Linked DNA regions of Lytechinus pictus. The protein of the gene in region 3 binds, or shares a complex with, the protein of the main gene of each other region. Links are inferred from orthologs where the notes say so. Each region holds a gene or a part of one and is shown on either strand. Other genes may lie near its edges.

What was found.
Region 1: the proteins of integrator complex subunit 4-like (region 3) and integrator complex subunit 9-like are in contact, whole or in part, in a cryo-EM structure (PDB 7SN8), measured with the Drosophila melanogaster proteins. The link is inferred for Lytechinus pictus from reciprocal best matches to the Drosophila melanogaster genes IntS4 and IntS9. Residues at the interface, in NP_572488.1 of Drosophila melanogaster: Arg105, Leu108, Val112, Thr115, Asp116, Asp147, Thr148, Ser149, Lys153, Glu156, Gln193, Met196, Arg200, His231, Lys234, Gln264, Asp265, Ser266, Arg269, Tyr302; in NP_648838.3 of Drosophila melanogaster: Arg2, Arg23, Met88, Lys90, Met91, Asp93, Glu96, Asp98, Arg173, Lys176, Asp203, Leu205, Gly206, Gly500, Glu501, Ile502, Arg504, Val544, Lys545, Asp546.
Region 2: the proteins of integrator complex subunit 4-like (region 3) and integrator complex subunit 11-like are in contact, whole or in part, in a cryo-EM structure (PDB 7SN8), measured with the Drosophila melanogaster proteins. The link is inferred for Lytechinus pictus from reciprocal best matches to the Drosophila melanogaster genes IntS4 and IntS11. Residues at the interface, in NP_572488.1 of Drosophila melanogaster: Arg226, Ser227, Gly228, Gln233, Lys256, Phe259, Tyr260, Asp262, Ser263, Gln264, Lys299, Asp300, Asp301, Cys349, Leu351, Lys380, Lys381, Ile437, Glu441, Glu443, Phe444, Leu445, Glu446, Arg448, Asp471, Phe472, Asp475, Asn478, Glu480, Ile481; in NP_651721.1 of Drosophila melanogaster: Thr182, Pro183, Arg185, Gly188, Ala189, Trp191, Ile192, Asp193, Lys194, Arg196, Ile210, Arg211, Asp212, Ser213, Lys214, Arg215, Arg258, Asn287, Gln288, Lys289, Lys292, Thr293, Met299, Gln400, Asn404, Asn469, Ala470, Pro472, Pro473, Pro475.

Annotation. Positions count from the first base shown.
Region 1 is NC_087245.1:1,539,767-1,550,415, reverse strand, and holds the start of integrator complex subunit 9-like, read right to left. Parts: upstream 5,259-10,649; 5' UTR 4,779-5,258; coding exon 4,770-4,778; intron 1-4,769. Other genes in the region: tRNA-specific adenosine deaminase 2-like, read left to right, coding at 7,293-7,349, 7,550-7,654, 8,691-8,841, 9,995-10,101. UniProt on the Drosophila melanogaster protein: Component of the integrator complex, a multiprotein complex that terminates RNA polymerase II (Pol II) transcription in the promoter-proximal region of genes.
Region 2 is NC_087250.1:18,422,059-18,433,119, reverse strand, and holds the start of integrator complex subunit 11-like, read right to left. Parts: upstream 4,252-11,061; 5' UTR 4,132-4,251; coding exon 4,104-4,131; intron 3,021-4,103; coding exon 2,923-3,020; intron 2,408-2,922; coding exon 2,334-2,407; intron 1,332-2,333; coding exon 1,220-1,331; intron 207-1,219; coding exon 147-206; intron 1-146. Other genes in the region: serine/threonine-protein kinase greatwall-like, read left to right, coding at 6,796-6,861, 10,867-10,931. UniProt on the Drosophila melanogaster protein: RNA endonuclease component of the integrator complex, a multiprotein complex that terminates RNA polymerase II (Pol II) transcription in the promoter-proximal region of genes.
Region 3 is NC_087260.1:14,204,740-14,215,651, forward strand, and holds the start of integrator complex subunit 4-like, read right to left. Parts: upstream 4,817-10,912; 5' UTR 4,703-4,816; coding exon 4,649-4,702; intron 2,838-4,648; coding exon 2,684-2,837; intron 1,689-2,683; coding exon 1,533-1,688; intron 918-1,532; coding exon 811-917; intron 1-810. UniProt on the Drosophila melanogaster protein: Component of the integrator complex, a multiprotein complex that terminates RNA polymerase II (Pol II) transcription in the promoter-proximal region of genes.

The DNA.
Region 1 (10,649 bases), on a different chromosome or scaffold from region 3:
ACTCGACACGTAGCTTTCCTAGCGAAAATAGATACCCTTTTTTCAATATTTTAGTGTTTTTGACACCCTTATTACATTAAGTATGTAATGTGCACTATCTTTAAAAAGACATCCAAGTGTTTTGCCTTGGGGGTCTTTTCTTTCCTAATTAATTCTTTCTTCAAATCAACCTTTCTTCTAATATTCCTTCTTGCTTGTCCTTGGCTTTTGCAATGTAATGCCTAAAAGTATAGGCGACAATGCCTAGTTCTTTAGAAGAAGTTAGACTTTCTGACAGTGTTGGGAAACGGGCCCAAGGCCCAGCCAGGTGGGGAATTTGCTCGAAGATCGAAGACGAAGTCGGCCGGCGCGGTTGCACGAACGCTAACAACAGCAAAGCTAGGCGTCTTGGACTCGTCCTTGCCGCCTGCCTTGCCCGGCTGACAATGACAATGATTTTATTTCTTTGACGGCCCCTCCTGGGGGCATAGAAGAAATATAACAACTTACAACAATGGCAATAATAGGCATAAGAAAAAAATACCAAGGTAACAAGAATCAAACATGATGATAATAAACATATGTACAATACAAGAGCAGTAATAGAAATAGAAACGGGCACAAATTAACCCACCCACTCCCGACATGCCAGAGAGTATCTGGAGACCGGTACCCCACTTAGCATGTGCAGGTGCAATCCAACAAAATCTGAAATCATGCCCTAATACAAGAAAGTAACCAAGACAGCAACTACACTTAAGATATTAAAATTTTGACATAATGAATTTACAAAATCTTGACAGATTTTTCAAGTCTTTTGTATTTCGCATATTAAACAACTTGTGCATTTTAATCACGTTTGGTCTGACAAAATAATACCCTCTAATTAAAGCTTTCCTTTCACTTTCAAAAGCAGGACAATTAAACACATAATGAATCTCGTCTCCTGGCTCATGCGAGTCACATAGAGTACAAGTTTGCAAACCTTGATTAGGCAGGTAACGACCATTAGCAATTGGCAATCTATGATTTCCACAACGATATTTACAGAGTTCAATCCTATCTGCAAAATCTAATTTCACTAAATAGTTCTCAAACCCAAAATCTTGTTTGAATATCCTATAATTCATGCACAAACGGTTTCTATTAATTTCAGTATTCAATTCCTGTTTAGCAATATCATCCAATCTGAGACTCACAGTTGACTTAACCCACTTAACGTCCAAGACTATATTCTCAACACTCCACAGGTTAGACATCCCACATCTATCCAAAATGTTTTTCACTTTTACTATCCATGGTGACTTATAAAGGTCCCTATCATGAAGTTGACGCAAAAGCCTATAAATCATACTTGACAATTTAGATTTTCCATTTACACTTTGACGAATCCTTGCCCAAAAATTTATCATACGCTTTTCAATAATATAAAGCAGACTGACTCTTCCCAATTCGCCATATGCCATACAATTCGCAGACCCTCGACTAAGTCCAAGGAGGCTTTTTATAAACTTCTTATGAAACATTTCAATACAATCTACATCACCAAACCCCCAAATTTCACTACCATATAACAAAATTGGTACCACCAGCTGATCAAACAATTCACATTGAATGTCCAAAGGCAAACTCAACACATTGGCCTTACTTTTAAGATTAAACATTGCTCTCCTAGCCTGATTAACTTGCTTTTTCATAGCTTTCTTGAAGGAGCCATTGTAATTAAAAGTGGTACCTAAATAAATATAATCCTCTACGACGTCAAGAGCAGTATCCCCAAACAAAAACTCTGGATATTTACGAACCTTTCCACGTGAGAAAATCACAACTTTAGTCTTGCTTGTATTAACAGAAAGTTTCCACTGCTCACAATATTGATGAACAGCCGACAGAGCAGACTGAAGTTCTTGAGCCGACTCAGCCAATATTATTGTATCGTCAGCATATAATAAAACATATAGTCGTAAGAAAACTTCCACATCATCATTGCTCAGGTAGTCCCTTATTAGAGAAGAGCACATATTTAAGCCTTTATAATACCGACTAACAAAATATTCAAAATCATTAAGAAAAACTGCAAAGAGCAAAGGAGATAAATTTTCACCCTGACGCACTCCGATATTACAGGTAAAGAAATCAGAAATGTTATATCCATACTTTATGCATGATTTAGCATTTTCATACATATTATAAACAACACTAATAATCTTCCCATTGATACCACATGAAATCAACTTCGACCAGAGACTAGATCTGTCAACAAGGTCAAAGGCTTTTCTGTAGTCAATAAAGGCACAGTAAATTCTCTTCGCATCGTGTAGATACAAATCGATCAAACCATGTAATGTAAATATGTGATCAAGGGTACTATGACTTTCTCTAAACCCTGCCTGCTCATTGCCTAAAATTCCTGCACATTCCAAATAATTGGAAAGCCTAGAGTTAATACAAGCAGTGAACAATTTACCTACACAACTCAACAAAGTCATTGAAGAATGGACTAGGATATTAGACGATAGCCAACCTATTGATGTTTTATATCTAGACTTTAAGAAGGCTTTTGATGCAGTACCTCATGAAAGACTTTTATTGAAGCTGAAAGCTTATGGAATTGAGAACCCTCTTCTTGCCTGGATTAGTGCCTTCCTGAAAGGCAGAAAGCAAAGAGTGGCTATAAATGGAGTGACATCATCTTGGACAGATGTTAAGAGTGGTATACCGCAAGGGAGTATCCTCGGGCCAATCCTATTTGTCATTTTTATTAATGATTTGCCTAGTGACATAAACTCCAGGATCTTACTCTTTGCGGATGATACTAAGATGTACAGAGCAGTAGGGAATGATGAAGAATCCAAGGCCTTACAGGCAGACCTGTCCAAACTTACCATGTGGGCTGAAAAATGGCAACTTCCTTTCAACCAGAATAAGTGTACAGTTCTTCACTTTGGGAGAAATAACAAGAAAGATAAATATCACATGAATGGAGATGAAGTTGCCTCATCTACCAGAGAAAAGGACCTGGGAGTATTGATTGACTCGGAACTCAAATTTCATGAGCATATATCAATGGAAGTAAGCAAAGCCTATCAGCTCCTTGGTATCATCAGACGGACTTTCACTCAACTGGACACAAGGACCCTACCAATTTTGTTTAAGACATTGGTAAGACCACACCTAGAGTATGGCAACATCTTGTGGAACACTCAATGGAAAGAAGATGCGGATAAAATTGAGAAAGTCCAGAGAAGAGCAACTAAGATGGTGCAGGAGATAAAAGAACTCCCCTACTCAGATAGATTAAAAGTATTGGACTTACACTCCCTGTATTATAGAAGAAGGAGAGGCGATGCCATTATGGTATTTAAAATACTGAAAGGAATGGTCAAGATGGACTCAAGTCACTTTTTCTTGCCATCAACTAATTCTAGGGACAGTGATTTTCCGCGATCGCGGAAAACGGACGGAATTCACGGAAAGGGCCTTTTGAAACGGAAAGTGGCATTTCAAACGGAAAATCACGGAAAACGTATTTTCCCTAAAAATACACAGAATAGCAACAGAAATTACTCCGAAATCACAACAAAATGAGAATATTAAATGGCCACAAAACCCCAGAAAACACGATCTCACTTCGCTACTATCATGACAATTCACACGTCGTGACTGCACTCGACATCACCACACTCGATTGTACCCCGCACCGTAGCCGTACCCGGCGCCCGGCCGGCCGGGTTGGGCTTCACATGCACACATATCGTTCAACTACACGGTTGTGTGTTGCTGCCCTCTACCTTAGAAGATGTAACAGCACGATATCGTGGTCTTAAAATCCAAGATGGCGGATTGGCAAAAGCCGTTTACTGATGATAACGATGTCCAAAAAACCCCAAAATTATCGATGAAATATCATTTCATCGTGAAATAATGCTAATGATGTGAAAGGTGAGGATGTATGCATGCTAAATGGGTTTGTAAAAATATTTTATGCACCCGCATAGATCCGATTAGAACAGATTCTATTGTGTTGTTGGTACAGGCTAGTAGCAGATACAAATTTTGACCAGTGCGAGTGTACGTGTTGTGATTTTGCTATTCAATGTGTAAACGGAATTGTCACTTTTCCGTGTGTACAAAGTCTATGGGGAAACAGAATTTACGTTTTCTGACATGCTGAAACGGAATTTGAGATTTTCTGAAACGGAAAAGGCAATTTTTTGAAACGGAAAATCACTGTCCCTATAATTCACATCTTCGAGGTCATACGTTAAAGATATTTAAAGAACGATCAAGACTCGACATACGCAAATGCGTTTTTACTAGTAACCGGGTAGTGAATGACTGGAATAGCCTCCCCCAAGAAGTTATTTGACTCAGGCTCCATCGATGTATTCAAATTAAGACTCGATAAGTTTTGGTGGTCTGAGCGTTTCAATCTCCAAGTCCAAATGATCAAAACCGTCTCTACCCTACACGTGTGCAAGTTTTTGTTCTTATGACTTATGACGTAATAACACATCGTATGGAGATGGACTGCAATTTTCAGATGAAGAGATCGAGGTCAACAGGATTACCTCACCTCGTAACATGATGATGATGATGATGAATTATCAGGATCATCCACTGAACCTTTGAATCTGCTGGATTAACATAGCCCCACATGCTAGCATTCATGTTGTTGTTTGTGTGAATGATTGATAGCTGACTGATCATTAATTGGCTGTAACTAATAGACACACAAACACACACTTCAACAATAACATAACGGCAGGAGGTCGGATAGGTTTTCTTACCAATTTCATTCTGGCTATTCCGGCTTCTTATATAAAATGCAGGATATTCTTGCAGTGTTTTCTTTTGCTCGCCTCAGCTCAGTTCAGATGGGTATACCGTTCAGATGGTATGGTACGGTATCCTCGCGATAATAAAATACGGAAGAAATTAAGGACGGGCGCGATCGATCGCGAGACGAGTGTGGTTGCGGGGGATCCCTCGCCCGCGCCCCCGGCCCGGGTAACGCTAGGTACAGGTACCGGTACCGTACTTAAACCGCGCCTGCGCCTGTACCAGGTACTGTTGCCGCGGCCGGTCAACCAGACGCCATATGCACCTCATGTCATGTACTTATCAGCGGTTGTCCGCGGGTTGGTTATTGACTACGGTACATTACATGTACCAGTTGGAGATTCTCTTAACGAGTATTTTTAATCAGATTTACCGGTATCTGAGCCTGATCTGAGGCAGTGGGTCGTTACGTCAGCAGCAAGACGCCAAGACTCAAGAGTGACAGATAGGCATGATACTTGATAGGTGCGAGGAGGGTAAACTTTTAATTTTGGATTAAGGTAAGTGGCAAGGCAAGGATGATCGAGAGATTGAGCCGAGGTTTCACTAATTGTGAAATCTCAGTCAGGCTCAGCTCAATCTCTCGATCAGCATCCATGCCTTGCCACTAGTGTCTAGTATAGTCTAGACTAGACAGCTGCTGAGCTGGCAGGCATCTGTTTCGAGGAGTTTTTTAACATTTTTTTTTTAATGTCTCCTCGTACACAGACGGCTCGCTTAGCCTGGACTGGAGTGGAGGCTTCTGGGGAGTAAAAGTCATCTACTATACGTAGGCTGGAGTAAGCCTACGACTTCCGTATAGTAGATGACTTTTACTCCCCAGAAAACTAGCCTCCAGGACCAGAGTCCAGGCTAGGCTCGCTATCGTGCAGCCACGCATAGGCCCTAGGGGTTAACAATGCAAAATCCCCCCGACGGGGCTCATCGATTTTTGTCTTTATTTCATAAAAATATATAAAAAGAACTGTACCAAAATAAAGATTATTATATTATTCTGTTTTGGCCTGAAATGCACCAAAATGGGGAAAAAACTTCAAAGGGGGAAACACAGTGACTTACTTTGGCTGTCGCGCAACTTCATTTCCCAGTTTTATCCGAACTTAATACATAAACATATGGCCATCGAGTCCCTGTACAGATTGAGCTAGAACTTCGGTCTCTGTATTTGGTGAGTGGAGCCAACGAGTTCAGCGGAACAACCAACATAACATTAACAGAGACCGAAGCTTTTGGTCTAAGTCTAGACACTAGCCAGGCATCTAGCATGTCTAACATTAGGCCTAGATCTACACTGGATACAGAAAGAGACATCAAACTCAAAGTCCTTAACATTTATTTTAAGATTTCCTCTTGCAAATGATTCGAACTGTGTCTGGTTAACCTTTTGAAGAAATATGAGCAGTAGAGGCGCATGGCTGATATTTGAGTCTTTCTCCAATTTTGGAGACAATCTCTGATATTGGAGACATGCTTTGCAAAAGAGATAGGCAACAACACTGAACTAGAAAGTTAATTCCCCTCCAAAATTTGCAGCTAGGTCAAAACCACATGATAACAAAATATAAATGAAAACAAAAGTAGATGGAGAATTCTTGAGCATATATGGTTAAGAGGAGTAATTTTGCCACCATGGTAATCCCTCTGACGCAAATGTTAAACAGAAAAAATCTTGCATAGTGGAGACTGGCTCTTAAAGGGATGGTCCTGGCTGGAAATATATCTCGATAAAGTAGAGTAATATTCACAGAGCAAAATGCTGACAATTTTATCAAAATCGGATAACAAATAACAAAACTATTGAATTTTAAAGATTTGCATTATTCCGGTGAAACAGTTATAGGCATGTCTTTATGAATATTCATTAGGTGGGCTGATGATGTCATATCCCCACTTGTTCGTTTGTATTTTATTATATATGAAATTTGGTTTATTCAAATTTTTTCTACCAAAAACTAAAACAATTGAATTGACAACTGATTAAGTGCATTAGTTATTTATTGCCGCAACTTATTTCATAATGCAGAAATATCATTTACACATGTATGAAAAAATGAAACATTTATGATTTCATGTAATAACATAAGAAAAAGGAAAGTGGGGATGTGACATAATCAGCCCACCAAATGAATATTCATGACGATGTGCGTATAACTGTTTTCACAAAATATGGATAAACTTTAAAATTCAATAACTTCATTATTTGTTTTCCAATTTTAATCTTATTTTCAGCATTTTGCTCTGTGAATTTTACTCTTTTTATTTAGATATATAAATATTTTCAGCCCGGACCATCCCTTTAAATTGAATACTGATGTACAGGATATAATCTCCAGAATGGGAGAGAGTCTCCAACATTGGCCGTATGCCTCTACTGAGCTTCAAAGTTCAATAATATTAGTAAAATAATATTGATATTTAACTTGTAGATGAAAAGAAACAATTTAAATTATCATCTTTTTTTATTACAGACCATGGAACTGTATGACGAAGCTTATGATGAAAAATGGATGAAGCAAGCAGTGTGCATGGTTTGTATCCAATTACTATGGGACTGAAAATGAATGGTTACATATTTTTAAAAAGTTCTGTTAGTGATGTTAATAACACTCAGAAACCCTAACTACCATGTCTACTCTTTAGATTGCTTGTAATAGATGTAGCAAAATGTTTTGTAGTGAACAATGGTCAGTTCCCTATGAGAAATTAAGATATGTTTTCTTTTGTGCAGGGTAAGCAGGCCCTAAGTAGAGGAGAGGTCCCAGTAGGTTGTCTCCTTGTGTATAATGATCAGATCATAGGGACAGGAGGAAATGCTGTCAACCAAACCAAAAATGTAAGTTATACTGCTTATTACACACTTTGAAGCTGCAGAAAAGATAAAACTTTGTACTAAGGGATCAGAGCACTATATTATTGATGTCATTTTGCACCTCTTGCAGTCTGCACCTCAGGGTGCAAAGTTTGAATCTTAATTTATTAGTAAGCAGTACTACCACATCCTATCCATATATTGACATGAAAAGTCCATCATTGTAGCTGAAACCAGGGCGTCCCTGCTGAAACTCAGATAAGAATTCCCATGATTGATACACTCCAGGTCTCATATCAGGTCTCAGAGATAATGTGACTCAGTTTGGATAAGTCTCCCGACTTTGAACCACAAAGTCTGGGGTTCGAATCCCACCGCAGCACTCGCGTCCTTTGGCAAGGCATTTATCTACATTTGCCAATCTCCACCCAGGAGTAGTAAATAGGTACCCAGCAGGAAGGAATTCTGTGAATGCTTGAGCGTCCGATCCGCAGGGTAGCCATGCTAAAGCCGGGGTAATAGTATGCAGCACTTACAAACCAAGATCATGAGATTCACAAACCTTTCAAATACTCTACTGTGGAACAAGATGTGTCTAATTTTGAGCAATTTAAAAAGATAAAATAAAATCAATGCCTTGTACTTTATTGAGATTTGTATCAAACCTTTCTGTACATCTTTATTCAATTCATTTTACTCAACATACATGTAATATTAGATTGCTTTAATATTGATTCATATACCGATAATCAATGAATTTTGGATTGAATTGCTCTTGTAGATTATAACTTTGTATTGAAAAAGGAAAATACTTATCATAGGTCAGTTTATCCATGTTTTGAAAAAGAAAGTACAACAGCTTTACAGGGTTTCCCCCAAATTTGAAAAAATGCTCTGTATACAGGCGTATTGATTATGAATTTTCAAGTTATTGCAGAATTTTTGAAAAACAGAACAAGTAAATCTGTCTTAATGGTCATTTTAGTTAAATTTTTGCTTTTGTAGATTGTATGTTACTTACACCTCTCATTTCAATAACGTTCATTCTACTGCACTGTAGGCCACAAGACATGCCGAAATCTTAGCTTTAGAAGAAGCAATGAGATGGTGTGAAGACAAACAGATGAAGAGAGAAGAGGTCTTCTCACATACCAAACTATTTGTGACAGTAGAACCCTGTATCATGTGTGCTGGGGCTCTGCGTATCATGGGTGAGTTTCATTCTCATAGAAAAGGCTTCATACTCTTGGGTTGGGTTGACAAATCTTGACTGCAGTATTTGTTCTTATAATCTCGTTGTTGAATTTGATCAGCTAGCCTTTTGTATGAAACTGTTGTCTAATAATGGGGATTCGGTAGTAGACATTGATATGGTAGTTGTACTCTTGGATCTTGCCACTTTCTGCATTTGCCATCAGAATGTGAAGCTTGTTCTGCCAAGGTGTTTTTCATTTTTTAAATTTAGGGTATTTATATTGTGCACATGCTTAAAGCACTGTTAACCCTGCTATTCTAGGCTACTGATTTTGGTCTTCACAGCTTTTTCTGAGGAATTCTTTCCTGCGGCTACACATTTACTTCACCTAGCATGAAAGCAGCATGATGTAGATGACTTTTTTGCTAAGGAAATTAACGCTATGGCAGGGATTTGAACCCAAGATCCTCCAATTTCTTAGAGCATGCCTATTGTCTGTGAAATCCTAAACACCCACAAGCACACACATTCAACAATTAACACTCACTTTACATTAACTTGCTAGAGTACGAGGCCGGCTTGTCCGAGGCCAAGGCCAGATTGCCCGAGGACAAGGCTAAGGCTGACCCACCTGAGGACAAGGCCAAGGCCAGAAGGGTCAAGGCCGAATATTCCCATACAAGGCAGGCCAAGGCCGGAGAGCCAGGAAAAGGCCAGCCATGGCCAAATATTGTTATATTATTTTGTGGCAACGGCCACAGATTTCATAGGGACCCTAAATACCTGTCATTTCTTAGCCCAGTGATGCTTTTTACTTTGGTTATGTATTGTGATTTCCACACCTCCATAAAAAACATACATTGATACTCATATATATACCGGTAGCCTATACATTGCATATACATATACAGTACACTCATACAGTCCATAGACACACACCCACAAAAACGATTTTCCGGCCTCGAGACCCACAACACTGCTTGTTTATGATAATTTCCCTCATTCAATAAGATCAACATTCTAAATATTGGCAGGTATGCCAGAGTATTAAACTATATCTTTACGCTCAAGGCTCTTTCATTATTACTTATTGTCTTACATTGTATTTGAATAGAATAATACAGCAGTCACTTGATAGAAAAAAAATTTGTTTTTAATCTTTTATACAGGTATTAGAAAGGTTGTGTATGGTTGTGCTAATGAAAGGTTTGGCGGTTGTGGTTCCATCTTCTCTGTACATTCAGATCAGCTACCATCTACAGGAGAAACTTTTGAGGTAAGTAAAGCTCATTTAAAAGCATACATATTCCATAACTAGATGGGTCTTAAATAAATTTTGGTGAAAATGAAAATCATTAAGATGGATATATATTAAAAGCACATGTTCTAACATATTGTTTGGTAAAAAAAAATCTGTCACCTAGCAGGTATGCTGTGCTTATTTTATCATTTTCTCAGCATTTATGCATTTTCATAATTATTTGGCACCTCATATTTATTATTGTACATGCAAACACTTTCATGGTCATTTTATTGGATTCTGTTCATACTCATTTTTAGATCATTGTCAAGCTAGAATTTACATTTAAAAATGTCTGAGATATGGTTGTTCTACTGGAGTTATGTGTACATATCATTCATATCTCTGTAGAGGACAGGAATGCTTACTGTGTTACAAATTATATTTATTACAACTAGTATTCAGTACACTCTACGTAGTTCACTCTCACAGCTTTTCAAAGCTATAAGAATGCAAGTACCTAATAAAATACAAATACATGTTCATGGAAATAAAAAAAGGTAATGTTTTTAGGAGTTACTTAA
Region 2 (11,061 bases), on a different chromosome or scaffold from region 3:
AATGCGAAATTCGTGTGGCACCGAGTGTGCATTGGTGAAATGTACGCGTAGAAAAGGTCAAGTAGTATCTGTGTTAGAAGGAAATACTGGTGGAATATTTTGATTTATAAATTGAGCAGGCATTTTTATGGCAACTTTATACTTACTTGTGAGGTGAAGAAATTGGTTTCTCCTTTTTTCTCAACAGTTATCTTCCTGTAGTCCTCCTATTTAAAAGAATAAATAAAATTTTAAAAGTTAAAACATGACATATCGACACACAGGTACTGACTGCCTTTATGTGAAGAAATTGGTTTCTCCTTTTTTCTCTACGATTATCTTCCTGTAGTCCTCCTATTTAAAAGAATAAATAAAATTTTAAAAGTTAAAACATGACATATCGACACACAGGTACTGACTGCCTTTAGGTTAAAATATAAATGCAAGTAGTCGCTGTAAATGCTGACATCATGAGAAAATTTGTAAAACCAAGAATAATTGTAACTATTGTGGATCTTGATCTGGTACAGTTACACTAATGAAACTTTGAGAAATCATAAAATCTAGGCTGAAAAAAGATCACACAGTAAATAACCAACACAGATAAAGCCATGTGGGACAGTGTATTATTATTGCTTGGAAAAAATACTTGACAGTTTGCGCGTACCCCATGCTTATTTTGCTTATTTCTCAGCAATGACACAGTTTCTTCCAGTGTCCTTTGGTTCATAGCTTACAATTTATCCAAACAGACACTTGGGTGCTCATTTTATTGGATTCTGTACGTACTCATTTTGAAATCATTACCAGAACTGGCATTTATCTTTGATATAACATTCTGTCAACAACATCATCATGCAAGATTAAAAAAATGTGTTTTCAAGAGTCTATAATTACTGTGCCCTTTATTATTGTATCATAATATACAGTTCTTGTATAGCGCATATCACATTATGAATAATGTCTCTATGCGCTTCCTAAGGACTTGGATATTATTACCCCATTTTCTTAGATTCAATGCTTTGTAAAATTTGTTTTTCTGTTGCAAATTTGAAAATGTGTAACTCCTTGAGACATTTTTAATCAAACTTTACTCTTTTTTTTTTATTCTAATACAAAAAATATTGCATTTGAATAAAAATGAATGGAAGAAAAAATAACACTTAACATAAATATTGCCAATTTGAAGATTGAAAAGTGTAATGAATAATGCATTGCCGCAATAGGCATGCACACTTACGAGGAGTATGGGGCAGATAGCCTTGGTGGGCTGTGTCATGTATATGGGTCCATCGTAGCCGACAATCTCAGACATGTGAGGGAGGGCTCCGCAGTGATCAAGATGAAAATGGCTGGGGATGGAAAAAACATGAAAAGCAATTTATTTGGAGAACAATATTTATTATGAAGAAATGTGATACTAAGAGATATATGCATGGCTGCTTGTATTTGTTTGGCATCTCTTGTGCCCGGGAGGTGAAAAGCAAACTGAATCAAAGTGACCCGCAGGTCTCTCCTCTCGATATAACTGGTTGGGGGGAGTGCAGGTGGACCACTACAGGTTTCCCCTTACTCTATACAAAACGTGCAGTGGGGTCTTAACGTGCAAAAGTGGCGACTCTCCTTTACACGGGGCCTCCATTTAACATGCTATCCGAGGGATGGAGTGTTTTCCACTGTAACATAGCCTGCATCTATGGAACAGGGGAGCGATGTTTACACACAACGCAGTCATCCGCACAGGGTAGACTTGAATCCACCACGACCTTTGGTTCGACATTACCAACTGAACCAACTTCACGTTTATATAGTGCATAAAACTTTGCGTTTCTAAGCACTTTACATTGGAATTATTTTCAACGTGGTCATCGGACCCTGGCATGCCTGCAAACAATGTACCGGTAAGCACTTTTCAACTCCCTGAGAGCATTCCAACAAGACAAGAGTTCCAAGACTCAACTGCAAGGCATATTGCATAGGCTTTCACATAAACCTGGGTGGAGTGTGGGAAAGTCTGAATTAACATCTTGCCAAAGGACATTAGGCCATGGTGGGATTCGAACACATGACAATGATTACAAGGTGAGAGTCAGAAAGGTCACACCACAACGCTTCCATGCGACAGTGTAATAATTAAAGTGGCCACCCATTTTTGCCCATGCTGTCTAGTTCTTAGATACACTCCCCCAAAACATGTACTAATCCTTAGAGAAGTGAATAAACACTTAAATATGTTACTCATGAGAAACAAATAAACAGGTATGCAGAAATAAAACAAATAAATTAATAAATCAACTAATAATTGAATAAACCAAAAAAGATCATTTGAAATATTCCAAGAACTATTCAAATACCTAATGATAACTGCATCAAGATGGTCTGTCAATCCACCATTTTTGTTGATGTAGGAGAAGTCTGGAAATCTTCTCTGTTGGGAAAAAAAGGGTAAAAACACACATTCAAAATTAGATATTGTGGCAGGTCATCAGAAGAACAGAGTATTGAGATTTACAACAGAGTAAGTTTGGAAAGAATATGCGGAAATATATGAAAATGGAAATGTTTTGAAGAGGAGGAAGAACAAGAAGGAAAAAGATGGTTAAGAATTTTTTTTTTCAAGAGAGAAAGAGGGAAAGTGGAAATTTATACTAAAAGACAACAATGACCAAAAAGTCCCTTTTTTATAATCAAACATACCCATGTGGAGTAATAAGAACAAATATAAAAGAATAACAGAAATGGAAATATCAAAATCAAGGAAAGAAGCCAACACGAGAACAAGAAAAGAAAATGAGGACAAATAAGAAAAGATACAGGAAAACAGGAGAAGGAATGACATGACTGATAAAAAGAGGTGGAAGAAGAGGAGGGAGAGGGAGGAGGGAAGAGGAAGAAGAGGAAGAAGAAGAAAAAGAGGAGGATGGGGAAAGGAGGTATACTCACTTCATCGTTGAAGCCCATATGCATCCCACAATCCAGCATGATATTCTTACTTCCTATCGTCAGAAGAATACAGCTCCGTCCAACATCCTGACCAGCCCCTTTCAAAATGAATGTCAAATCATACAATCACTTATTCTACTAGCATTGCCAACTCAAACTGGGAATCATGTATTTGTAGTCAACATGTTAAAAGGATATATTCTAAACTCTTTGGAGTCTTGCTTCCATATCTTATTGTTTAAATGATTTTTATAGCAACACAAAACATCATCTGGGTCCCGTCACACAAAAGTCAGTGATCAATCATACGCTTGATTTTTACGACTGACTGGCCATTGTAGTCAATGCAATCAATTGTTAAAAATGTTCTACGACCATTGCTAATACAGCTAAGGCTAAGCTTTGTGTTACAGGCCCCTGGACAAGATTGCAAGTGGGAACAGCTCCAGCAGACTTGACTTGGAAAGCTTAAATGACATTGAGCTGGCCGCCTTGCCTTGTCTTTCCGTTAATGCCCACAATCATTATATTGATTAATATGGCATATGAACGTCAAGATTGACTTGGCCTCAATCAACGGAACACTTTTTGGATTGTATTTGTAATTTGTTCCATCTTTTAAGCAGATTTGCACAGAGGATCGTCAGTTTTAATTGTCACTTTAAGATTAGTTTATAACCAAATTCCCCCCCTAAAAAAAAAAAAAAAAAACAATGCTGATAAAACAAATTTGCAAAAATAATTCCCTGAAAAAAGATGCCTGGCCTGCCTTGGCTTGAAGCCTTGAGGCCATTGAGGGGCCTGAGAGAACTATACTAATAGAACAGTAGAAAAAAATATCCTATAAGTATAAATTCCTATTCCTAATTGAATTCATTTATCAAATTGCGAAAAAACTAAATAATTAATGGCATTAGTGACGCTGATTCATTAGTAGCTACCACCACCAAAGAATCACTAAAATCCTGCAAATCATTGACAGTGTCGTATGATCAACTTGTCAAGCTCAGCTCATACACGCGTGCAGTCTGTCATTGTGAATGACAATGTTGATCTATTATAATTTATAACAAACATGGATGACAATACATGGGACTGTCAACGAAATAATCGGCAAAGTAACACGGTAAAAAACATTACTATCAATCAAATATAAACACATAGGCTCATAATATACAAACCTAAGGGAACTATCCTTATATCTGTCATCTTGAGGTGAAAATAGCATCAATCCGTGGAGAAATGGGTAGTCTAAATCCTTCGAAAATAAAGTTAGCGCTTCATCAGTTCAACTAGTTCATGCCAATGATCAGTGCGTAGTCTACGTCTACGAGCTGCTTGAACAGACTCGAATCAAATACGATTTCATGTCTGATCGAGTCTCATAATTATGCACTCCCTTCTTCTCCAAAACTCTCTTTCTCTATAAAAAGAGGCAACAACAGTACATTGTAAATCTAGTCTCACTACTTCAGACTCTGCTTTATTATGCACTACTCGTAATCGAATAGAGAAATAAAAAAGGTCTGGGCCTAACAACCCGGCCTACCCCCCCCCCCTCCATGCACCCCTCCTCATGTTAGGGAACGGTTTTTTACGGGGGAAAAATGACAAGCAAAAATAAAGATTATCACTCTAAGATCAAAATGTGTGGTTTTTTTTTTTGGGGGGGGGGTCAAGTTTCTACATTTTAGTACACCAATCTGATTTCCAGGGGAATGGCTGATAGCTGCTTCGGCACACCATTTTAGTCACCCCCCCCCCCCCCCGGGCACCCCCGCTTCCAAGGGCCAGGCCCCTCCCCCCCAAAAAAAGTTCAAACTTAGCCGCTATTCTCAAACCGCTTTCCCTTTAAAAATCTGATGATTAAAAAAGCTCATTAGCGTTTCCTGAAGTATATATCGCCTGTTATCAGATTTTCCCAATTTTTTTTTTTTTTTTTTTTTTGGGGGGGGGGGGTAATTTACTTCAAGATTAATCTTAATCTTAATTAATTTTTACATTTCTAAAATGTGTCAATCGTATAGGCCTACCTCACTAATAATAGGCCTACCTGAATCAGCATTCGATATCCCTTATGGCAATGTTTAAGCAGTGCTTAGATTAATCCATAATAAGGCCACCAATTAGGCTATGATCTCGGATGCTCTAATTGGCCTCAATGCTCGTCTCATAGGCCTTAAATATTTTTGTCACCTTTTAAATTTTCCCATTTGTGCTATATATATAGGCTTTATCGGCGAGATAGAAATTATTGCCCATCACCGTATGAAAGGGTGAGGGAGCAACACGCTCTAAAAGGGTCGAAAGGGGACAGCATTTGGTGGAAAGTGCTGTCACTCCTCATCCGGTCATCCATTCCTCCATCCTCAAGTTTGCCTTTTGTGTTTTTAAAGAATGCTGCACTCGACCCAGGTGAGGTGAATGGGTATACCCGGCAGGACTAATTCCTTGAATGCTTGAGCGCTATATAGACAGCTCAGCTAAAGCCGGGGTAATAATAGCAGGGCCCGCTGGGCCCAGTTTTCGGAACTGAAGTGGCTACCCTGGGTAAATAATATACCGCTATTATTGTTGTTATTGTTAAGAAAAGATTGAAAAATCAAGGAATCAAAACATTTCAGCGGCGGTGCAATTATTCAGATAATAATACCTTTAAAAAAATAGTGTTAATCCGACGTCCTAAAAATAATGATTTTTTTTAACAATGTTTCATTATGAAATTAATTGGCACGCCGCTTGTCAAATAGGTGTATCGATATAACAATACAAAATTGATAATAAAAATAACAAAGGAAGATCGACAAATAGCTATAACAAGGTAACCCCCCCCCCCCGTCATATCATTCACGGAACTAAAATCTATGATTAATCACAATAGTTTGAGGGATAACCATAATCGTCTGGTACTGAAATGCTGGGCTATCCTATATTTTTTTCTCAATAAAAACCTGTCCCCCCCAAAAAAAAGATCTGACCCAGCGTCGAGTCTAGCTATTTGTTATAATTGGGGAAAAAGAGGCAGGAACGGATCAATTTTTTCCAAAAGGGGGTATTTTCGTTCAGAAAAATCCAACAAGTAAATACAAAAAATATCTTCATATATTTTTATGGCTCCCCAATCTCAGTGCAACTAAGTTTAGCCTATGGAAAGGTAAATAAAGATTGAGAAAGGTAATAAAGAAAGAAATGAAAAGTAGGCATCAAGGGCAAGTTCCACGGAATGAAATAGGCTAAATAATACATGAAATACGACAAAGCGACTTCTCTTTTTTTTAAACAATGGTACAAAATCCAAAATGTATTGATTATATTATTGAAGAAAGCAAAAATATTGTCTCATTTTACAGGTACACTAGATGCGGATCCAGAGTTGAAATTTTTGGTGTGCTACAGGGTCCAGGATTTTTTCAAAAAGGGGTGCCATATTTTACCCGTTGAAAATTTGACAAGCAAAATACCTAATAAAAAATGTTGTCCCCTAAATTTAAGGTCAATATTATTCGTCCGCCCAAGTATAACTAACAAGCAAAAAAAAAGAAAAAAAAAAAGAAAAGGTTTTGGATATGTAAGGTCAATTTGCCTCTCTCTTTTTCAAATCCTACGGGGGGGGGGGGCTCGTGTGCCTTCAGCCCCCCCCCCCCCGGATCCGTGCCTGTACATGTTGTACAGTATGCACATCATACAATTTTTTTATTTTCTGAGATAGGGATTTATAGAATCACAGAAATACAATACTTCGTTGATTACAAGGCCGGCCCTATAGGGCCTTGGTACACGCCCTCTCTCGATCGAGGAAGACAGAACAAATAAAAAAAAACACGGCCACTAAAGCAGCGGTAAACTTGAAAACCCGCAACAATAGAGAGAAAAATGACCAATATGTTGTCACCATCATCGTCAAATATAAATTCTGAGTTGACCAAGACAGATTCCCAGGTATGTATGCCACTTTCATGCTATGAAATGCTTTTAAAAGGTTGTTTATAATTATGTATGGATGCATGAGAAACAAGTTCGGTCCCATGCGTTGTGAAACGTGTGGCTGGCTGGGTGGCCAGTTTTTTTTTTTTAATGAAATTACCTGCAAGACCTATTTTATTCCTATTTTTAAAAATATCATTAACAGTTCTATAATCAGATAATGCTCAGACTCAAGTCTCAAGACAAATTTGTTAATGATCTTAAATCACGTTTGGTAACAGTTTCCGAGTCCGACTCCAAGTCAAAGAACGCAAAAAAAATAATAATTCGAAGACAGTCGTAAAACTAAAAGTCACTAAAACTTCAAATGCGAGCGATCGTGCGGACAGAGCGCTGAACGTACATTTTCGCATTGCAGTGAATGGGGAGCACATGACTAACACACACGGTTCGCTCCGCTCGGCACTTCGGCTGAGTGCTGGAGTTGCATTTGGAATTGCTCAATAAAACAGTCAGTTTCTTCCTTTACCAGTAGAGGCGCACGGCCAATATGGGAGACTCTCTCCAATAGGGGAGACAATCTCCCACATTGGAGACTTGCTTTGCAAAAGGACAAAAGAAACAACACCAACAAAAGCATGATTTTTTCCACCCAAAATTTTGTCTCGCTGAGGTCAGAAGCCCATTTGTTTTGTGTGTGATTGACAACAAAAATCCTTATCAAAACAAAAGTAGACGGTGAATTTTTAAAGTAGACGGTGAAAAGGGGTAATTTTTCATGAGGAATCTGCTTATCACATTTTTATTTGCCGCCAAGTTAATCCTTTTGCAGCAAATGTAAACAAAGGAAATTGGACTCCAAAACTGGAGACTGTCTCTGAAATTGGATACCCAAATTCTTTACAAAAGTCTCTGATATTGGAGATAATCTCCCACATTGGAGACAGTCTCAAATATTGGCCGTGCGCCTCTACTGTTTACTCTGCTGATTTTGATTGGTCAAAAATTCCCGTGGTTGCTTTGTACACCTTTGGCAAATATCGATAATAAACAACACTGAGTTTCACTTACCATAATGGGATGGAAGGACCTAATATTAAGGTATAAATTTTTCTTTGCTTGAAGTTGAAATCACCCCGTAATCATCGGATCTTATTGAAACTCGGTAGGCCCTAAGTTAATGAAATTGAATATTTGAGAACATTTTGTGAAAGTTGAATTGAATTTGGTTCGTAAAGAGCCAGCGGAAATGAACTTCAATTTTGAGTGTTGTTAGGCGTTTGTGAATCTGACTCGCTGATCGAGAAGGGTTGTTTTGAGCGTATACGAACAGCTGTGAGTGATGCCATCCCCGCTGCGATGGGCTCGAGATTAGTCTCGGTATTCAGACACAGTATGTTTCAGCCGTTGTATAGTTTTTTTAATTACAATTTGAGCTCTGTTAATTATGAAATTTAAATTGTTATTTTGAAAATAATTTTGTAGAATTTGTGCAAAATAAGTATTAAGAGAGGACGGGGGGGGGGGGGGGGGTAATTGTTCAGGGGTAGTTGCCCTTGAACCAAAGAAATCATATGTCAATTATATGCCAAATCAATCTGAGTACTTAAAGATTTAAGGACGTTCCACAGTTAAAGTGAAATCCATGTCATTTTCACCAAACTTTGCACATAGATACTTTAGAACCTTAATATTCGAAATATGCAAAAATTAACATAGGTCCATGTGCTTGATTTTTTGCTATAGAGCTTCAAAGTTCACCCAAATTGATGTTCTTAAGAATTGCGCATTCAAAAGAATTTGGCATTTTTAGACCGCCCAAGATTACTACAATGAGTTTAAACCTCCATTACTCATTCAAAATACATGAAAAAGTCATCAAATTTCGCAAGAGAGTTAATAATTGTATCGTTAGAATGGAAAATCTATTAATAGTGCTATTTGTTTGCAATTTTAAGTTTAACAGCACTGTCAGTTCTTAAAAATGGCGTGAAAGATAACAAAATCCCAATCTGAAAAATGTAAAATTTCAGTAACAAATTACAAATGTACAATAAATGCTGCACTTTATTCAAAATCCATTTTCACCAAAATTTGCAGAGTTGTAGAGGATGGTATACCTAAGAGGTACAAACATTAAAAAATAGGGGTTCATGTGCTTGTTTTTAAACTATCAGCATTTTTATTAGAGCAAATGTGCTTTTTAAAACACCAAAAATGGGCTGAATGCTTAGTATCTATGTGAAGAAAAAATCAAAACCACTCTACCATTTATTCAAACTCGGGCTAATATTCGTGATTCTTGGCAGCACTGCAGAGTAAAGTATTTTGAAATTGTAGAGATTTTTTTTTTGAATGGTCCATGGAATAATTCAATTTTTTAGCTTAATGAAATAACGCATCGGATCTGCAGTTAAAGTGCAGAAGATGAGAAAAATCAGCTCATACCCGCAGCTAATTAATACCTGTTCATCCATTGTGACGTCAGCGCGCAGAGTGTAAACTATGCGCAGATCATAATGCGCACAAATATAACTGTGGAACGTCCTTAAATAAAAAGCTTGTACAATTCCCCATAAGCTACCGTATGTATTATAAGTGTGCCATGCCCAAAACATAGAGAATAATAAGATTTTGCAATCGTCTTTTGTCCACAAAAAGCCTTGTTTTTGTATCACAAAGATGACAATAACTCTACTTCTAGATATCGGAATTTGAATATTCAAACAGTTTTGTGAATCGTAGATATTGAGCCTCATTGTGAGCATATAAGAAATGCTGGAACAGCCTTTCCTGATTTTCACCTGAAGTGCCTATTATAGATCTAGATCTATAGTAACACGCCCGGAATTCGACATGTTGTGCCATTTGACACATGTGGTAAAGTTATTTCACAAGCCAGCATATACACGCACCTAATTCATTGTTGTAACTTGTATACCCAGCCATTATCACTCACCACATGAAGTAATTCCCTTTAAAAAGTCAAATTTTGCCCTTAAAAATGCAGAATATATGCCGTATTTCCAGCGCACGCAGTGGCGTACCTCAGATTTAAGAAGTGGGGTCACCCAAAGATATGCTACATGTAGAAAATAAAGAAAACTGTTTTTGTGCAAATTTCGTGAACTTTCTTGCAAATTTAGGATCGTAGAGATCTTCAAAACGACAAATCTAAATAGAAAAAAAAAACGAAAAACTCTACTGCATTGAATTTGCACAGAAATCAAGTCGACGGCATGCGTTCATTTGACATGGGGTCGGACCTTAATGCAGGAGCGAATGATCGCTGCATTACATGGCGATACATTTCAATATTTTATAAAATATTGAGATATACATGTAAGTTGAAAATAAACATTGCAATTAAAAATACACTTGAAATATATTCTACAAACATTGATGTGAATTTCTTTTGTGAAAACACATTTTAGAAAAAAAATATTGCAGAAAAGCTTAACATTTCGAATATTGTGCAGGTTACTCAACATGAATTTGAATGTGCTTTAAATATGTTTTTACTGTATTGCAACAGGCCCCATCCAATGGTTCTACTAGCTCCTAAGGCATAATGTTAGGTCTAGGCTGAGCTCTCGCCTTCATGGTTTTAATGAGCATGATGTACATGTATCTATTGTATCTGGCTAGACTCTGCTAGGTGTATTTAAAAGTTAATCAAAATAATTACAGTTATGGTCGGACTCTTTAAAAATTAGGTGATAGTTTACTTTATTTTAACTTTATTCCATGTCTACTCTATCTGGTGTCAAAATTTAGGGGTGTCGAGCTAGAAAGCCTTTCTAAAAAAGGTTCAGTAAGATTAGAGCTAACTCATTGGTTGGTGTATATTAAACTAACTTGTTGGTTTTGAGAAACAGGGCCCCTGGCATTAGGTCTAGTATATGATTCAAACATTTTCTATAAGAATTCCTTTTAATTTACCGATATTTTGAGCTAATGTATAATTCAAATCTTATGTATAAGAGTTCTTTTTTTTTTTTTTTTTTTTAATTGTTTCAGATGCATCAGGCTCCAACCATTGATGAGTTCTCCATCATTAAACCAATCAGCAGAGGGGCTTTTGGGTGAGTTTTTTATTTAATTTTTATTTTATTTCGTTTCAATTTATTTCATTCCAATTTATTTCATTTCATTTCAATTTATTTCATTTTAATTTATTTCATTTCAATTTATTTCATTTCATTTCAATTTATT
Region 3 (10,912 bases):
TCAACCATCCTCATTTCATCTATATACTCTTTGCCCACTTCAAACTGTGACATCTGAACTGTTCGACAATTCTTCTTCGGGGTATTCATCCAATCTCACAAAATCTAACTCTTCCGTCATCTGCCATTCTCACAACCTTAAGTTATTTTTTGAAGTAACATCTTATGGTATAAATGGGACTCTCACCTTACAACCCTGCTCTGAAAGGAGGGATGCTATTAAGGCTGGACAAAACAAAATCTGAAAATCATCTAGAATGACTCCCTTTCCTACAAGTACATGAAAAAGGTGATTTCTATGGCTGAAATTATGTAGAAAAAATCTAAATAACGAATTTAGTCTAAAAAGTGGCATCCCTCCGTATGGTGTGTGTGTGTGTGTATTTGAGTTTTGTCAGATGTGTATCAATCATCTCTCTTTCAATGCTTTCCACAATGTTATCATGTTGCTCTTTGTTAATATTGAAATTTTTCATGCTTGAATTACGTCATATTCACAAAACTTAAGACGAATAAAATATCTTCCTTCATGTAACTTCTGAAGGTTTCCATGGCGAAGAAGAACAGTGTAGTAGGTTTCATGGTACACCATGCACCTTTCTTGGGCAAGTGTTGGTCCTGATGAAAAGGACAACCCAAACTCGAAGTTTCGACAAGTGGGTTCTTGTCCTCTTCATCTTATCCTATTTTCCTTACCTGGCAAGTTGCCAGATAAGATGGAAATCTTGTTATCATTTTCAACTGAACTCCTACAGCACCACATAGGAGCATAACATGTTTTGCAGTTGGTATACAATGTACATGTACTTACTTTTTGAGCAAGTTGCAGAAGCTGACGATGGAGATCGGAGGTCAGAGGAAGGCTCCGTCCAATCACAGTGAGTGTGGTAAATATTTGACCTTTGACCTTGTGAGAACCTGTATGACAAAACCAAGGATGGAATCGACATGGACATGTAATTCTTGAAACAACAATCAAATACCATATCCTTGGGCCTTGTCTAGTCTGAAATAAGCACTTGTAAAATTCATCATCCATGCACACATTTGCTGACCATGCAATATGAGTGCATAAACTCTTTCTTCAAGTTGTCGTTTTTTTTTTTAAACAGAAATTGAATTCTCGGTACTGTACACTTGAATATCAGATGTGGAACATGAAAAATCAATTACCTTTGGCTTTCAGCCCAAATCTTATGGTTGGTTGACAACACAATGAGCATTGGTCAGACTAAAATGTGATGATACTTTACATAACACACAAAATTCATGGTACTTTTTAAATCCAAATTTTTCTAAGCACTGCATACCATAAAAGTAGCTTAGCATTAAGCATAGCTACAGTATTCTCATCAGGCACTTGAGAATTCCAAGGAAATTATTCCAATAGGGTACCCATTTACAACACCTGGGTGGAGAGTGGCAAATTTAGACTAATATTATGCAAAAGGATGCAAATGCTGCAATGGGATTGAAGACCCAGACCTTCCAGGAAATTTAAATACCCCTCCTTCAACAAAGCTTTCATCTCACCTTCAGTGGCTAAGAGCGTCATCAGGTCATTGGCGATGCCCACAGCGTTCACACCCGGGAGTCTGGCAATTCGACCCAATAATTCAATGACCTTTGACCTTACATGAGCTCCTTCCTCTTTGCTGTAGTGCTCAAAAAGAGTGTTGATAATACTCTCTGGGTGGAAGAAATAAATTGAGGTATTTGACAATTTTGTCATTTTCATCTTAAAAATCACTTTTGAACATGGCCATGAAATATGTGCTATTGAAATGCATTTTTTTATGATTATCATTATTAACGCTATGAACATCACTTGCCATTACCACATATACAACCACTCATTATGGAAGCTGGCCCAAAATTGTGGACCAGACTTTGCCAGACCTGGGTTCCGTTTCAAATAGACTTGTTATAATAACAAATACAAACATTTCTATAACAAATTTAACCATCAACCAATCAACTGGAAGGATTTCGCTAGCTTTTAACTGTTATTGCAAATTTGTTATTGTAACAAGTTTTATGAAACGGGCTCGAGTAGATACTCAATACCTTCACAAAATACCTCAAAACTTTTATTAAATTTACATTTGAAAGCACACTTGCATGAACATGGGCATATCAAAATGCTTAAAGAAGTTGATTTATTCTTCTGCACATGTATCATTATGAATTTATACCTGTGATTATCACTGTCATTATCTCCATCACACAAGCTAAGCTCTTTGATAGTAGATGCTTCCACTTACTCCTATCAATTCTGCATACCGGTACATGTACATGTGAATGTATCTCTTTTTATTACACTTTGCAAAATGTAAATTATACATGTTTTCATTCATGTAGGAAACTGAATACATCAGATCAAATCAAAATTAATATCAATATCAAATCCAAATTCAAATTCAGATTTGACTTCAAAGTCACATTCAAATCTAAGTTCAATTTCAATTTCAAATTCAAATTCAAATTTGAAAATCATAATCGAAATCAAAGTCAAAGTCACCGTCAGTGAAAGTCTACATCAAATCAAATCAAACTCAGAATCAAACAAAAATCCAAATGCTGTAAACAAAATAATTGAAATAAAATGAACATCAAATTAGAAAAGAAAAACCAACTCAAATCAATTCAAAATCACCAACACCAGCGCCCATCGTCTAACGTACCTGCCGCATCTTGACCGACTGGTAGCTGGTTCTCTAGATCAAGCAGCTGAGTAAGGGCCTCTCTGGAATTACCAGCCCTCAGATCAAGGGTGACCTGGGTCACCTGAGGTCGGGCTACAAGTCTCACCTTAATCGGAGGTGCCTTCGGCTCATCCTGTTTAACAATGAGAAGAAAAATGTAAGTTCTTATCAAATCTAAAAAGGAATTCAAACCGACCAAGACAGGAGGATATGCGTCACGTACCTTGGCAAAGAACAAAAAGAAACAAGATAATGACATAAACATCGCGGCATGTTTTCCCCGTCTTTTTATAATATTTTTTCTGTTTTTTTAATGAATTCTAGATCAAAAATGAAATCAATGTCATATCAATGTCGGAAATGAAGATGTATCCCTTTTTTTACATGATTTAGGGCTAGATCTTTTAGAAGAAAAGTAGAAATCTTGGGGGCGAAAATTTCAGGTTTTTTTGCAGTACACGACTACATGCACATGAATGGGACGCAATCCCTGGCTCTGTGGAGAGTAAGCACATGTTAGTGAATTATTTGTACTCTCTAGCACTTGTTCACTGCAACCACCCTGCCTGTGGGGAATCTACAGGTAGGACTATGGCATGCCAATGCTGTACAGAGCACACACTTTCAAAAATCATTAAAATGTCACTTTTGTGACCAAAATTACTAATTTTCATACAGTTGCAATTTATTTTTCATTAGTAACTTGGGAATAATTTTTGTATTCACTAGAGCGCTCAAAAACGTGAATTTTTGGCATATTTTTGTGTACGCCCTCTATTGGTGGAAAGTAATATGGCAAGAAAATTTTCATTTTTTATCTCTATTTTTAATTAAGAAAAAAATAATTCAAAGAATCAAATTTACTTAAGGGCCAAGTTGTATGACGAATAGGTGTAATGGAAACTGTCGGTGTAAAAAAATCAAGCATTTGTCCCTTAAACTAGAGAAAATAAGCCAAACATTGCCACCCTTATTTTGCCACACATGGAGATATAACTGAGAACAAGGTTATATCATAACCTTGTTCATTGAATGAGTGCTCTCTAGGAGCCTCCTCACTCCTGGCTAATGTAAAATATAGATATATGACTATGTAAAAATATTTTAAAATATCATCACAGAGTCCTCAAGGTTAGGCAGCTGCCCTATCATGCATGTAGACCCCTTCAAATTTTTATGCATATATTTCAAGATTGTAGAGGTTCATGACTCAAAATTATCTTAGGGGCTGGTGCGATGTGAATTAATTTGTCTGTTGATATAGATATACTTGAACTTAATTATTTAAGTTAAAAGCCATCATTTTCTTTAATAATAGAAAATTATGTTTCATTGATAATTTCAATTCAAGAAGGGCTAGTGGAAAGCTGCTCGCATACAACACAATGCACAACACAAATCAGAAAATTAAATTTGTCTACTTTTAATGATAATCTTTTGACATGTTTGATGAATGATGGATTTTCCAGCATTATCATGATTATCGTGGTTTATGTCACCAGTCCATTCACTACCGTTTATTTCGTCAACGGCGGTGACTTCTTCTTTCCACTCCCATTGACTATGTACACAACGAGCGCACACACACAAGAAGAGAGGTGACAAATTTCATGACAAGGCCGATTTTCCTCCCCAGAATATTATTATTAATTATTTTTCTATTATTAACGTAAAATTGTGTCAACATGAACTTCCCCTTTAGATTATTTTCAATTTCAGTTTCATTTGTACATTGTATCTCCATGTGTGTAAGCCGGTGAGAAAAATCCTTTAAAAAGGCTTTATGGACAATAAAGTTATTCAGTTCAATGCAATACAATTCAAGTCGAGTTAGATCCCACAATAATCTCAATATGTGGGACCGAACAAAACAAGTTCATTCAGATCCATGTTGTCACAAACTTTTTTCGATATTTATAGATAAAGGCGGGTAAATTTTCATACCTGAATTATTTGGCTAAACTCCTCATATGCACGTTTCTTCAGATGAGCTGCCATTCTGTGGTGAGAAAGTCACATAAATGTAGGAAAAGTCAATATTTTCAAGGACCTCCTTTCACTTTGCTGTCCATTCAGTTTTCTGAAATTGAATTAACGCCCTCAGTCGCTCACGGCGCTAGCGCTAGCGCGCGCGCAAGTGCAGTTGAATTTGCGGTAATTTTGAAAGACCCTTTTTGAAAGTGTTGGACTCTCTTTTTGGCAAAGCTTTTTCTTCATTCAAAACACATTTGAATTGAAAGAAGTAATTAAGGTTATCTGCAGAATTGAGAGGGAAGGACAATGGCGTCCACAAAGGATCAAACATGCAACGCCACCGATTCTCTGAAGAAAGGAAACTCAGATTTTCTCACCCCCGTTCATCCAGCGAAGAGAAGTCGACTCTCTGTGGCCACTCCCGCCCGGAACTCTCCCGCTAACACGATACAGATCCCCGCCTCGCCGTTTATGAAGAAGCTGGGCTGGGGGACTGGTGTGTCAGTTTATTTGCTGGAAAGGTTGGTTTATTTTTAGGCCTAACTTAGTCTAAAGTAGAGGCGCTGGTCCAAAAATTGGGATTGTCCCAGAAAACAAGGACATTCTCATAAACCAAGTCCAAGAGTCATGTCTTGATAAATTTAGACTGTCCTAAATTTATTTTAATTTTTATGGCCTGGCTTTATGGGGACGTTTTTTTTTCACTTCCCCCTACGGGACAAAGACATCAATTACGGGAATTGAGAGTGCTAAAAATAGATTCAGTGACCTCAATTCCCCCCAGTTCACCATCTATTTTCATGACTTACAAGTTACATAACTCATAAGTTACTTACAGAGACCAGTAGAGGCGCACGGCCAATATTGGAGACTGTCTCCAATGTGGGAGATTATCTCCAATATCAGAGACTTTTGTAAAGAATTTGGGTATCCAATTTCAGAGACAGTCTCCAGTTTTGGAGACCAATTTCCTTTGTTTACATTTGCTGCAAAAAGATTACCTTGGCGGCAAATAAAAAAGTAATAAGCTGATTCCTCATGAAAAATTACCCCTTTTCACCATCTACTTTAAAAATTCATGGTCTACTTTTGTTTTGATAAGGATTTTTGTTGTCAATCACACAAAAAACAAATGGGCTTCTGACCTCAGTGAGACAAAATTTTGGGTGGAAAAAATCATGCTTTTGTTGGTGTTGTTTCTTTTGTCCTTTTGCAAAGCAAGTCTCCAATGTGGGAGATTGTCTCCCCTATTGGAGAGAGTCTCCCATATTGGCCGTGCGCCTCTACTGGAGACAGTCTTCCGAGTTCCAATAATCTTGTTATGAAACCTGATAATTAGTATGTTTACATTACTCTAGGCTCTAGCACAGTACATTTGTCAGCACTTGACAGGTGAATGAGATAGTCCCTGTTAACTGGGACAATCCCTGTTAACTGGGACAATCCCAGTTTTCTGACCAGCGCCTCTACTGGTCTATTTGGTTTTTGATTAATTGAAAAAAACTGCGGAGGGTCAAGTCTAATGATTAAGGCGAATCTAATCTTCCTGTGCCAGAATAACCGTCGTTTCTGGGGATTTATTTAACAATTTCTGACATTTTGATATACCCCCGGTACTTATTGCCGTTATTGGTAAGTGGAGCCAACGCAGTTCAGCGGAACAACCAAAATACAGAGACTGAAGCTTTATCCTGTGCCTTGCCGTAGATAGATCTAACGTTAGGGATAAACTTAGACCAAAAGCTTCGGTCTCGATAATTGGTTGTTTCGCTGATCTCCGTTGGCTTCACCCACCACCAATTGCGTACGAGGAGAAAAAAAAAAAGTTTAAAAAAACTCTTCGAAACAGACGGCTGCCAGCTGTCTAGGCCAGGATAAACTAGACCAAAAGCTTCAGTCGTGGTCTCTGTAATATGTATTATTGGTTGTTCCGCTGAACTCCGTTGGCTCCACTCCACTCACCAATTACAGAGACCAAAGTTCTAACTCGATCTGTACAGGGACTCAATGGCCATATGTTTATGTATTCAGTTTGGATATAAAACCAGGGAAGTGGGAGTTGCACGTCAGCCGAAGTAAGTCGCTGTTTTTTTTTTCCTTTTAAGTTTATGTTTTCCTGTTCAGGCCAAAACGGAATAGTATAGATCTAATAATCTTTATTTTGGTTCAGTTCTTTTTTATATTTTATGAAATAAAGACAAAATCGATGAGCCCCATCGGGGGGAGGGGGGGGCGGATTTTGCATTGTTAACCCCCTAATGGCGGCTGCACAATCGCGAGCCGTCTGTGTACTAGGAGAAATATTTAAAAAAATTATAAATGTTGAAAAACTCCTCAAAACAGACGGCTGTCAAGGGGAAACATGATAAACTTCCCAGAAGATGACCTAACGTTAGTTTCTGCTTGTTCAGTGCTTGATAAGCATTGGGAGAACATTGCCTATGATGATTTGAGTGATTTTTTATTTCCGTGTGTTTTTCAGGGAATTTTTTGCTGTCTACGATACCCCTGTCTCCTAACTTACTGCCACGTCCCTGCCAACACAAGTAGGCCTAGTGCATCTAATTTTGCCTGAAGTCGTCAGAGCAGCAATATTGCCAAAAATTCTACTATTGTTTTGATCGATGAACAGGCTTAGTCTGAGTCCTACATCGTCTGAGTAAACTAAATTAAACTAAATTAAAGTAAACTAAACTTAAGTTAAGTTAACAACAAACAAATCATTCAATTAAAATAATAAATTACAGTCATTTTGAATTTTTGTCAGTGTCATTATCACTGCAACGACCTAGGTCTAGGTCCTAGTATTAGATGCACATGGGCATGGCAATGGCATGCCATGTTGCAATCTGCGAGGACATTATAGATCTTGCCATAGGGGGAAACGTTTCGATGCCACATGGAGTGGACTGCGTCTGCGCGTACAATTATTCAGTAAATGAGTGGGAACACCACCAACGCAACATGGACTTAGCAAGGACGTGGCTCAGACATAGCACTTATGGGACTATTTCACATTTTTCAAAAACAACAAAGTTGGCGTGAGTCCGACCTACATGTACCGGTAGGCATTTTTTTCCTGAATTTCAACGATACATCAGCTCAGGAACTTCCTCTGTTTTTCAATCCATGAAAGCGTGTTTAAAAATATTTGCCCAATAAGTTTGAGGTAGATCTAAAATGTAAACAAGGTGTTGCTTTTTCCTCCTCGGCAAAAAAAAAAGTTTGATCTATTTCACATTGATCTGTATGTCTCAAAACATACAAAATGAGATTAAGTTACTAACTGTAGCACTTTCAATTTTAAGTACTAAGAAAATGATAGCAAACAGGTGAATTTGCTGTGTTATGTGTAGGCCTAGTAATAATATGCATTATAATTCCCACATAATCGCTTCCAACCTGTCTGGTGCAAATTGTTCATAGTGATATTAACTGATATGCTGGTTTTGCCTTTGCTATTAAAAGGAATTATGGAGACTTCCAAAAAGTAAGCAGTTCAGAATATAATCACTCACTGTACTTCCGTACTTTACATTTAACAACATATGGTGCAAGTATTCTAATGCTAAAAGTAGTTCAGGTTTTTTTTCCAAAATTTTTCTTTCTGTTTCAGGAGCCCAAAGCCTGATGGGAGTGGACGTTCACCCTGGGCAGTGAAGAAAGTACGCAGCAAGTATAAAAAAGATAGAGGACTGGTAGATGTAGAAGGCAGGCTTAAAAAGGAGGCAGTCATTCTAAAGGTAGGCTGTAGATACATGGACAGACTGCAGTTACTACGGTAGTATGTCACTTGTCTACCTTTTGTTCATAAACAAATTGTGAAAAGCATGAAGTGCATTGCACTGAGTTGTCCCATAATGTAGGCCTACTTTTAGCAAAAGTCAGATCTGTATCGGTTTGCAGGAATCCTCCTGTTAAGGTGCTAGGCGACTCCCAGATAGCTTTTCTGCATTTTCCCATCGTTTTGTATATTACAAATGAGAGCAATGTACAAAATTGTTAGCCATGAAAAGATGCTTGCAAGGTTCCTGCATAGGGTTGGCAGTTTCCTGAGAAATTTGGGTATTTCCCACCCAGGTGGGATATACTGGAAAACATTTAAAAAAATAGAAAATGGGGAGTACAGGGAGGTACAGGGAAATGCTAGGCTATGCTAGGCTATGCTTAAAATTAGCATTTCCCTGTATTTCCAATTATTTCCCAATCTACTAAAAAAAATGTTGAGGCAGTATTTACTGGTATTTCCAATCCTTGCCAACCTGTACTTTTGGTAAGGTACCTCAAGGCAAGTTTGCATGCATCTGATCTACAACAATTGTCTTTTCTTTTGAAAGCCTTGTATTGAACCAAATTCAACTTTGATTAGTGGTATACCGTATAGTCTTGTGAGAACCATAACGTGCTGTGGTGCCAATTGTTCTTTAATATGAGTTTGCAATCCCTGGAGCCTAGTCTGGATAGTGGATTCATTAAATACTTATTTCTTGGTCTGGCATTACTGTGGTATTATTAAATGATCAAAAAAGCTTGTTTATTGAAGTTGTTCATACAATTTGTATGATGTTGTAACGTTTCAAATTCTTTCTAACATTCATCGCTTTCATTTACATTTATCAATTACTACAGACCAAGCAGGTCTTTGCGCTCATCCACTTCTGGCTTCCTTGTTATTCCAAAAGTTTCAAAAACCTGGGGGGAAAGATCATTTGCTTTTGCATGCCCCACTTTGTTGAATAGCCTTCGTGAAGACATAAAAAAATGTACCTCTGTCGAAACTTTCAAAAATCTTCTAAAAACTTTTTTATTTAACTCTTAGCTCTTTATGTGCCTTGAGCACTCTACAGAGTGGATTTGGCGCTTTATAAGTCACATTATTATTATTATTGTGCGATATCATGTTGTTACAGAAAATGGACCACCCTTGCATTGTGGAATTCCGAGCTCTAAGCAAGTCTGCGGATGGATCACTGTGTCTGTCAATGGAGAATGGCCAACAGTCATTGATGGATATGATTGAAAAACGCAACGACATGGGGAAAGGTAACTCGAAGCAGCAACTACACAACAAATTTGAAAGAAATGGGAGCGGAGGGAAAGGGCTGAACATTGATAAAATCACTATTTTTATGGTCATTTTCATGATTTTGTGCATGATCATACTTAAAAACATGCCTGGCTTTGTAAAAGTCTTTAACCAATAAAGAATTGATCCCTTTTGCAGTTTTTTTTTTAAAGGAAGTGAAAATTCAGATCTGGGATTAATGCTACTGAACCAGGGGCATGGTCTGCATGGGATGGTGGACAGTTGCCCCTTAGATATTATTGAAAGATATTTTTTAAAATGACAAAATGCAGTGTTGTTCTAATTGAATTCTCTATGATGAAATGTGAGGATTAATCATCATGAAGAATTGTGGAATTCCTACAACAAGAGAGACATGACTCTGATGGGGGGGGGGGGGGTGCCCCTAGACATTGAAATAAAAATGTTGCTGAAAATGTGATGATTAAAATACTCTGTGTAGTAGTACCTAATTGTTTTATCTATTCTAAAATGTGAGGATTAATGATCAGAATATTCTTCTGGGGTTCATGCCAGAAAGCCACACCTTTGATTTTAGTCAGGTATCTAGCACTGATTCGCGCAGTCGTCAGTAATGCATTCATTGCCCTTGCCAATGTCACTTTCAGGTCCATTCCCAGCTGTTCAGATCTACAAAGTAGCCCTGTCCCTAGCATCAGCCCTCAGTTATCTTCACAATGACCTCAAGTACCTACATGGTGATCTGAAGAGCGGCAATGTCCTCGTCAAGGGCGACTTTGAGACTGTCAAGCTCTGTGATTTTGGAGTAGCCCTCAAACTCAGAGATGACCTGAACGGCCTGGAGGTATGCATTCAATACAGTCGTATGTATCCGCTGTATGTGTTGTTTTCTGCAGTTTCTACAATATTCACCAAACATAGGCCAGAGGTAGTAGTAGTAGTAGTTGTATTAGAAGTAGTAGTAGTAATATTAGTAGTCATGGGCGGCACTGGTATTTCGGTAATAAGGAGGAGGGGTATGGTAAAGATAACCTAAACCGAATCCCCCTTCCGCCAGCCCCCAATAGTACAGGGGTATACATGTAGATTAACTCATTCAAGACCTCTTTTATTAAAACTAATTCCTTTTTCCTTTGCTTCCTCTTTTCTCCCCATTTCCCCCCCTTTCTACCCTTTTTTCACTACCC